Zea mays: one gene and its partners. The main gene of each other region encodes a partner of the protein of the gene in region 3 in a complex. Links are inferred from orthologs where the notes say so. Each region holds a gene or a part of one and is shown on either strand. Other genes may lie near its edges. The genes, in order: 50S ribosomal protein L31-like; 50S ribosomal protein 6, chloroplastic-like; 50S ribosomal protein L13, chloroplastic-like.

Evidence for each region.
Region 1: 50S ribosomal protein L13, chloroplastic-like (region 3) and 50S ribosomal protein L31-like share a complex: the UniProt entries of both Arabidopsis thaliana proteins name them as parts of the 50S ribosomal subunit. The link is inferred for Zea mays from reciprocal best matches to the Arabidopsis thaliana genes emb1473 and emb2184.
Region 2: 50S ribosomal protein L13, chloroplastic-like (region 3) and 50S ribosomal protein 6, chloroplastic-like share a complex: the UniProt entries of both Arabidopsis thaliana proteins name them as parts of the 50S ribosomal subunit. The link is inferred for Zea mays from reciprocal best matches to the Arabidopsis thaliana genes emb1473 and PSRP6.

What each region holds. Positions count from the first base shown.
Region 1 is NC_050098.1:221,940,607-221,942,908, reverse strand, and holds 50S ribosomal protein L31-like, read right to left. Parts: upstream 1,477-2,302; 5' UTR 1,419-1,476; coding exon 1,329-1,418; intron 1,223-1,328; coding exon 920-1,222; 3' UTR 627-919; downstream 1-626. UniProt on the Arabidopsis thaliana protein: Binds the 23S rRNA.
Region 2 is NC_050099.1:216,898,199-216,900,750, forward strand, and holds 50S ribosomal protein 6, chloroplastic-like, read right to left. Parts: upstream 1,238-2,552; 5' UTR 1,166-1,237; coding exon 800-1,165; 3' UTR 666-799; downstream 1-665.
Region 3 is NC_050098.1:202,898,069-202,901,819, reverse strand, and holds the start of 50S ribosomal protein L13, chloroplastic-like, read right to left. Parts: upstream 2,892-3,751; 5' UTR 2,786-2,891; coding exon 2,561-2,785; intron 2,078-2,560; coding exon 1,892-2,077; intron 1,326-1,891; coding exon 1,155-1,325; intron 372-1,154; coding exon 255-371; 3' UTR 1-254. Other genes in the region: uncharacterized protein LOC100285659, read right to left, coding at 3,591-3,751.

The DNA of each region.
Region 1 (2,302 bases), about 19 Mb from region 3:
TTTTTTGTTAGAATACAAATAAAATCTTAATGCATTTATACTTTTATAAAATTACTTTTTAAGATAAATTATGTTTCAAAACTAAATAAATAACAGTTATTTGTAGTCAAAATTTTATAAGTTTGACTCGAACATTATCCAAAACGACAAATAATATAACACCGGAGGGAGTATCTATTTGCTTGTCGCTATCTATTCTTATTTCCGCCACATTTTCTATCAACGTAGGAAATAGAGTGAATCAGAGCTAGTGTATGATATTATCTTCAACGGTTTATTAATAACAAAATAAAATTACTTACTTTTCTTTTGTCTAGATTAAGCCAATAATATTATAGTCATTTTGTTTTATTTTATAGAAATTAGCTTGAATTATATGTTGGTGCTAATTGTTTGTAATGGCATGAGATTTTACAAATATTCTATTCCACCCATATGGCCGTATGTCACGACATGTTTTATATATCATGCAACACATGGACACTCAATTAGTTCAGTCGCATGGAAAAATTGGTTGTATAAAACTATGACTCGGAAATTGGATCACCTAGCAACAGGAGGCTAGTTTGATCAAACAGTATGCGGTATCAGGTTATCAGCAGACGACTCAAGCTGTAGTCAAGCATCAGCGTATACTCCTAGTGAGAAATATCCATTTCCTCGAACCAGGATCATTTGCTTGTTTGATCAATACCATCCTACCCTAGAGTGCATTGCAGAAAGCACATTGTATTTGGGGGCCCATGATCAACAAGACCCTATCTCGTGAAGTAGTAGTAATTGTACATTTTCCATTCCGAACATTAACCGAACACCTGGAGAGCAATGCGAACAGACAGAGTCTCGATTCCATTCAAGAGGGCAAATGTAAACTGGACCGGTGACCACGCACCGGGTGAGGAAGACGGGGAGCCATCAATCAGTTGTCCCCCTCGGGCTCGAACTCCGGGTCGCCGTCTGGGTGCATCTCCCTCCACTGGTCCTCGGGCCAGTACTCCTTGATGTGGCCCCACTTCTTGCGGAACTTCTCGATCTGGCTGTCCATGACCACGAGCGCCGAGGTGTCGCCGACATAGTAGGGGTGGTTTCCGGACCACACGTCCACCGTGTACTCCGGCTTGGTGCCCCCCGTCACCAGCACCAGCTCGCCGTTGCAGTACACCTTCGCGTCCTCGTAGATCTCCGGGTGCAACCCCTTCTTGCGCATCGAGCAGCGCATCCCCTGCACCGCGCCGTCCAGGTTCCGGACTCAGGAATTAGCGGCGGCGACGACGAAGATCCGTGCAGGAATGGCGAGAGGGAGGGCCGGTGTGTACGAACGTGCGTACCTGGGAGGGGACGACGGAGCGTAGGGTGCGGGCGGTGGTCCTCGCGGCGGCGGGGATGGGGAGGAAAGAGGTGGAGAGGGAGAGCGTCATGGCGGACGATGGCCTTGCCTCGCGACAGTCGCTTCGGCTGCCTATGTTCTTTCCTTCCTCTTATCTATCGCCTTGCTAATGTTATCCTCTGGCGCTCGTCGATTCTCTCTTTAGGTAGCGTTGTCTAGGCTTGTTTGGGCTCTATATGTTCATTAAAGTCTGTCTGTGGTTTGTTTTGGGCTACGTGGAAATGCGACGGCCCACGAAAAATCCAGTGCCCAATTTCTCCTTCAGTTATTTCCAGTTGGCGGCCAGCTATACTAAAGAGGTATAGCTATGCGGTTTTTTATTTATCGAAACATTTCGGATCAAAATTCTCTTTCATAGATGTAACGTCGAAGAAAGTACACCACCAGAAATGAAAGTGTTGGTAGATGGTTGGTTGAATTAGTGGGCCAAAAGAAGAGAAAGTTGCATGCCGTGTAGAGTCTGACTTAAATATAATTAAGGAATGATATGCAAACTACAATTACAGTTGTTACGGTTTTCTTAAGAGTATAAAATTAAATAATTTAGAGCAACTCTATTAGAGCAACTCTAGTAGTTCTCCAAAAGATTCCTTAAATCAATAAATAATTTAGGTAGCTAAACTAAAAACTCATCTCCAACAACTCTCTTAAATGAATTTTCTAAATTTAGCTACTTCTCATCTAATCTCAATTTCTCCCTACATTTAGCAACCATTTATCAACTTCCTAAACAAAAAACTGACGATAACTTTTGTATTTTGGTGTTTTTTCACTTTGTAGTAGAGATATATTAACAGAGCACATTCGTCGGACGCCGACGATGTAAAATTGTGGCAGGTAGTCAACTAGAGATTAACCAATTGCCAATGCAATAGCCGCACGTGCACATGTTAGAAATAAACGAATAAACAATTG
Region 2 (2,552 bases), on a different chromosome or scaffold from region 3:
TAAAAATTGAAAAATAAGAATTTATGGTAATATATAAATCCGGATAGCCCACGTGTTAGATATCCATTGGGTAACGGGTATGGATACTGGATATCCATACCCGTGAAAAAAATATCCACGGATACCCTATTATATCCATAACCGTACCCGCGGATATCAAATTCCACCATACTCATATCCAATGGATAATTATCCGCGGTTATTTACCCATACCCGTATCCATTGCCATCCCTAGGTAGGCAGGTAGCATATGGAATTCGCACAATCATGCTCCAACAAAAGCAACATTACAAACAACTAGGTTACTTCTAAAATTTCCTATCATTTGCAGTGTTCAATGGCTGTTCCTGCCATCTAAGCTGAGTTTACTGTTTACCGAACCTTCCCCAATATCAGGCAATTGTCCAAATCAAACAGAGCCAGCTCCTAAAGTCAAACAAGAGGCAGATGTCTTCGTTGGGCTGCTTGTTTTCCCCCCCTTTTGAAGACTATATTTGCGTAATCCATATCCCATCATAACTTAACTGGCAAACTATGGAGATGGAGTAGCTAATCACTCTGCAGTCTGCACTGCCACTGACGGCATGGAATAAGCGTTGCACACAGCATGCAACCAAGAAATCATCTAGCAACGCACTAAATTGGACGCGGTGACAGCCACAATCTGGACAGCAATGAAAGATTCTTAATTTATAATCACAAAATCTGGGCAGCCATTGTTATTATATAATAAATCTCAAAGAAAAACAGCTTATGCGGAGGTTCAAGGGAACAACTTTGGCGACACGCCGCGGCGGCCTCAGTCGGTGGCCGCGGCCACGTCGAGGACGAGAGTCGCGGCGGGTGCCGGGGCCTCCGCCTCCTCCACGTCCACCGTGGCGCCGGAGGCGACGAGCGTCCAGTCCGGCGGGAGCGGCGGCAGCGGCGGGTACTGCGTGGGGCGGCGCTTGATGTCCCACGGCTGCGTCTTCTTGGGCCGCGTCTTCATGTGGTGCTTGGTCCCCTTCTTCTGCGGCCGCGACGAGCACTCCACCGCCAGCGCCGCGCGCCCGCCGCCGTGGAGCGGGGAGAAGCCGACGGAGTAATGGCGGGCGTGCCTCGCTGGCGACGGGGCCGAGGCCGGCGGCACCACCGTGCCCGCCAGGAGTGCGGTGACAGGCGACATGCTCGCTGGTGCTGCGCTTTCGAGAGAGGCGGACGGGTAGGGTAGTAGTGTGGGTTGTGTTTGGGATAAGATGGGAGGAGGACTGTTTCGGATTGGGTTTTGTGATTGCGGGATTTGCTACGCTGAGCGAAATCTGGCCCACACTATGTGCGATCATCTGACCGCTCACTCATCGAGTGTTTTTCCTTTTTTATATCTCCACTTCTTTTAAAAAAAACTTGTAATTGTTTAGTCCCCTGCCCTCTTCTTATCATAAAATGCCATGTCACCTTTTTATATTATAAAATTCCGTGGTCTAAGATGTGCCGTTGATGAAGCTTCAACAAAACAAAATGAGGCTCACGGGTACATAATATATTTCTTTTGGTACAACGATCAGTTGTCTCCCGAATTTTGTTGAAAAATGTTTCGGCACAACTAGCTTGTACTTCTAAAGCTATCTCTAACTCATCTAGAGATGTTAATGGAGAATTCTCCATCGGGTTATAGCATCCCAAACTCATTCCTATCATATTTAGTCCATCCTCATACCCATTATGGGTGCAAAATTCATCTCATACTCATCCTCATTCGGGTTTTGGGTCCCCAATGGGTCCCCATCTCCAATTAACGCATGTTCAGGCACACCAATCCAGAAGGCGATTGGAGGGTATTAAATCCCCTCCTAGTCAATGGGAACCTCAAATCCCCATTGGGATTGGAGGGGATTGAGGTAGAAATAAACTAATTTTCTCTTCAATCCCCTTCAATCTTGAAGGGATTTGAGTTTCCAAACTAACCCTTAGTGCTACTTTGGGAACCTCAAATCCCCTTCAGGGTTGGAGGGGATTGGGGTGGAAATGAACTAATTTCCTCTCCAATCCCCTTCAATCCCGAAGAGGATGTGAGTTTCCAAACTAGCCAATAAGGGCTGATTTGGTGACCAGAGATTACGGCGGGATTTGAGAGAATTGAGGGGGAAATTAGTTCATTTCCCCTTCAATCCCCTCCAATCCTCCCGTGATCACCTTGTCACCAAATCAACCGAGTTGATTTGGTGACAAGGTGATCACGGGAGGATTGGAGGGGATTGAGGGGGAAATAAACTAATTTTCCCCTCAATCCCCTTCAATCCTCCCGGGATCCCGGGTCACCAAATCAGCCCTAAGAGGGGATTTAAACCCCTCCAATCCCCTTCTGGATTCGTGTAACCGAACAAGCCCTTAAGGGATAACTAGGTACTAACATGTAACACAAACTATCTAGATTTCAGACATCACCACATCGGCAAGTACTCATTAATGAACCATCATCCATTCATCCATCCATCAGAAAAGAAATAAGTACTTCAGGACCGATAGAAGAAATAGAGAAATGGAGTCTGCTCACATTTCTTGGTCACCATCTG
Region 3 (3,751 bases):
TCAAAATTACAAACTTCAACTGGAAAATAAAGATTTTAGGTTGATTTAAACCGTACCATATTACATGACTACTCATTGACAGAAATTTGACTGAATTTCATGCATTGGTAAACATCAAAATTACAAAGAGGATTTATACTCCCCCCCCCCCCCTCCCCGATCAGAGGCATGGTTATGAGGATAGCATTCCAAACAAAGGGCAAAACCTTCTGGGGAGGAATTCGCCACTGCATCCTTTTCAGTCGATGAATTCTCTATCCAGTTTTTTGTATTCTTTTATCCCTGATCGGGAGTGGGACAGGTTTTTGAGCCTCGTGCGGATGTTCTGTCCCTTTGTATACCTTGAGGTGGGTAAATAATCTTCTTCCCAGCTGCAAATTGGCAAAAAAGGTGAGCATATAAATGTAAATATAACAAGTATATAGCACATAACAAAACTAAGTTAAATCAAATTTGCCATCAACAAGAAAAATGGAATGGTTAGGGGGGATGCTTCAGATAACAAGATATTTGCCTGCCATAATGTGAGTTTCAGTAAACGCATCCATACTACCAAACAATTGAACTAAGAAGCAATTTGCAAGAAAAAGGTTAATAGGCAATTTTTATGGAGTTCATGCAACACACCTTTGCGAACTTAGAAAAAAAAAGATCGGCAAGATAATTAACTAATTCAATCTGGACTTGTTAATTTTGTTCAATAACAACATTCCCTTGAATTTAGTACTGTGATTTATTCTGAATGTCACGCTTTCACTGGGAGGTACATGCTGATGCATGAGCAATGTTCTGACTGCAATACACTTCAGGGCTTGTTCGTTTCGCCGTTAATCCATGTGGATTGAGTGGTATTGAGTCGGTTTAAATCCATAGCAAGTCAAAATCCATCCCAATCCATCCCAACACACCAATCCACATGGAATTGAAATAACCGAACAAGGCCTCACCATTAACTATAGTAGTTCTCAATCTCAAAAGAAAAAATTCACATCTGCTAACTAATACCAAATTGTAATTTTTGGGACCTTAAAATAAAGGTCACCAGGAAATTTGGTTGTCATTTTCATATTTGGCATACATTATAACATGCGCACTAAAACGAGAAAGAGAACATGTAGACCTGAGGCAATCAGCTAGTAGATGTTTTTTCTTACCCTTCCCTTGGGGAGCATGCCACGAACCGCATGTTCAATGATTCTCTCTGGAATTCTTTTCTGAAGTTGGTCAAAAGTTTCTTCTTTCATCCCTCCAGGCCTTCCGGAGTGCCTCCTATAAAGCTTTTGTGACCGCTTTTTACCAGAAACAGCAACCTTATCTGCATTGACCTATGTGAATAGAAAAGGTTGTTAATGACTCTCAGCATTGTAGTGTAACACAATAATGCATATCATCTACTCCATCTGTTCCAAATTATAAGATGTTTTGGTAATTCTAGATACATAGTTGTTACTAAATATCTGGACATGAATTATGTCTAAGTGCGTAGCAAAAGTAATGGATCCAAAAAAAATCCAAAAAGTCTTATAACTTGGAACTGAGGGAATACGTGGTAATGAGCCTTTAGAGATGCACCAGTCACAAAAGGACTATGCTAACATAAACATTAAACACAACTACAGTTGAAGATTATTTGAGGAAGGTTACTCACCTCAGTACCAAATAATCTGAGGGAAGTAAAGCATGTATACTAAGGCCCTGTTTGGAACCTCTACAGCTAATAGTTAGCTGCTAAAATTAGCTATACAGGTTCCAAACACCCACAACTAATTGTTAGCTAACTCACAGTTAACAATTAGTTCATTAGCTGGCTCAACCCAGCTAACAATTTGTTAGCTGGCTACCTGTTAACTGTAGGGATTCCAAACACTATAGGTATTGAGAGAACGCTTACCACAATAACAAAAGCTCCCATGTCTACACTAGGAGTGTAAGTGGGTTCATTCTTTCCCCTGATATGTACTGCAATGGTGGATGCTAGCCTGCCTAGGATCTTGTCTGTTGCATCAACAACATACCATGTCTTCTCGGTAGTTACATGATCTGCAGCCTTAGGATACCAGGTTGTATTCCATATGTCCTGCAAATTAAATCACTGAATCAGATTTCAGTAGACACAATTACTTGTGGAGTAATTCATTAGAAGAAAGAACAAGGCATAGTACAAACAAACCATTCACTTTGTACCCATAGTATTAGTAACTGATCCTAAACAAGTCACAATTATGAACAGGCTGGTTGGCAACCATCAGTTCACTTTGACTTGCATGTCCAATTAAGCTCATTTTTAATGAATTCTCTCTCACCACAAACAGCCCATGGGTAATTTTGGATATGATGGCACATGGCAGATAACATATATAATGTACGCAGTTCTATTGTAACTTGATTGCCCTTCATCATGCACATAAAAGGATAGTCGAAGCCTCTGAGGTGGATTAAGATGGCCACGGTGAAACATGAACAAAATAGGATGGACACTGTCAGTCCAGGGTTACAATCCTGCAAAACGAGCTGTGAAAATGTGCACATTGTTTCAAGAGAGGAAGAGAGAGCGTCGTACGGGGCCGCAGAGCTCGTCTCCCTCGAACATGAAGCGCTGCTCGCGGGGCACGAGCGCGGCGAGCGGCTGCCTCTTCTGCTTGTCGCTCTTCTCGCACCGCACGGCCAGTCCCACCGGGGCGGCCCGGCGCGGCCCCACGGACGCGGTCCGGGTCAGGCGGCGGTGGTAGTGGCGCGGGGCGAAGGCGGAGGAGAGCAACGTATGGGAGGCGACGGCCGTAGCCATTGCGGCACGGCGAGCGAGCGGCAACAGGAGGAGGATGTGCAGACGGTTGGTTCAGTGGGACGCGGCCATTTTTAGGCGCAGTGGGGAGCGTCAAGCGGATAAGGGGATAGGAGACAAAGAACAGGGAAAGGTTAACAAGAACATATGGGCTTCATGGGCTCAGAACGAAATGCAGATTTGGCCCATTACGACACCTTATCAGCTCATCTGAGATTTAAACGCTTCCTTTGAAACTCTTCCCAAACTCAGAATAATGGCGGTTCCATAATTCCATCTAAAAAAAAGAAATTCAATGTATTACTATTGGGCAAAGGGAGCTGCATTAACAAAATATAGCTTCAGACAGGACCATATTTTTTTCAAACGATTCCGCTGTTCAAGTACCAATTAGAAACATCGGTAATCAGAGAAATTCTCGAGTCCAAATAAAATGACGGGAACAGAACTTCCATTGCTGCTAGTTTCCGCGACAACCATCAGCAGCAGAAGCCGAATTAATTGATAACGGACACCATTTTCACATGTTCCATCAGGAAACGGAAAGGAGGCAGAAAAGTGTTCATTCTCTTCTAACCAAAGAAAGCATATCTTTTACATATATAGTGGCAACATCGTGTGATTGCGTTGCAGTGAAGCAACAGCTTAACGTGTTTCTGGTTCAGATCCAGGATTCCCTCGCAGGAAGAACGCAAAGATGATAATATACAACAACAAAATTGTGAACCAGAGATGTCGAGTATCGACGATTAGAACCATATGTAAATCAATGGTTAGTTGGCTACCAGCAAATGAACTGGGAGGAAGGTTACGAAGTAGTAGAAGACCCTGAATTTGTCTGTGTAAGAGGTTTTACTTTCCTTGTGTGACCCAAACTATTCACAAGATCCCTGCGAGTGCATACAGGAAACATGCTCAATCCATGCATGTTTAGCCGCCACAAAACGTATGGAAAACTGAGCTGATCAC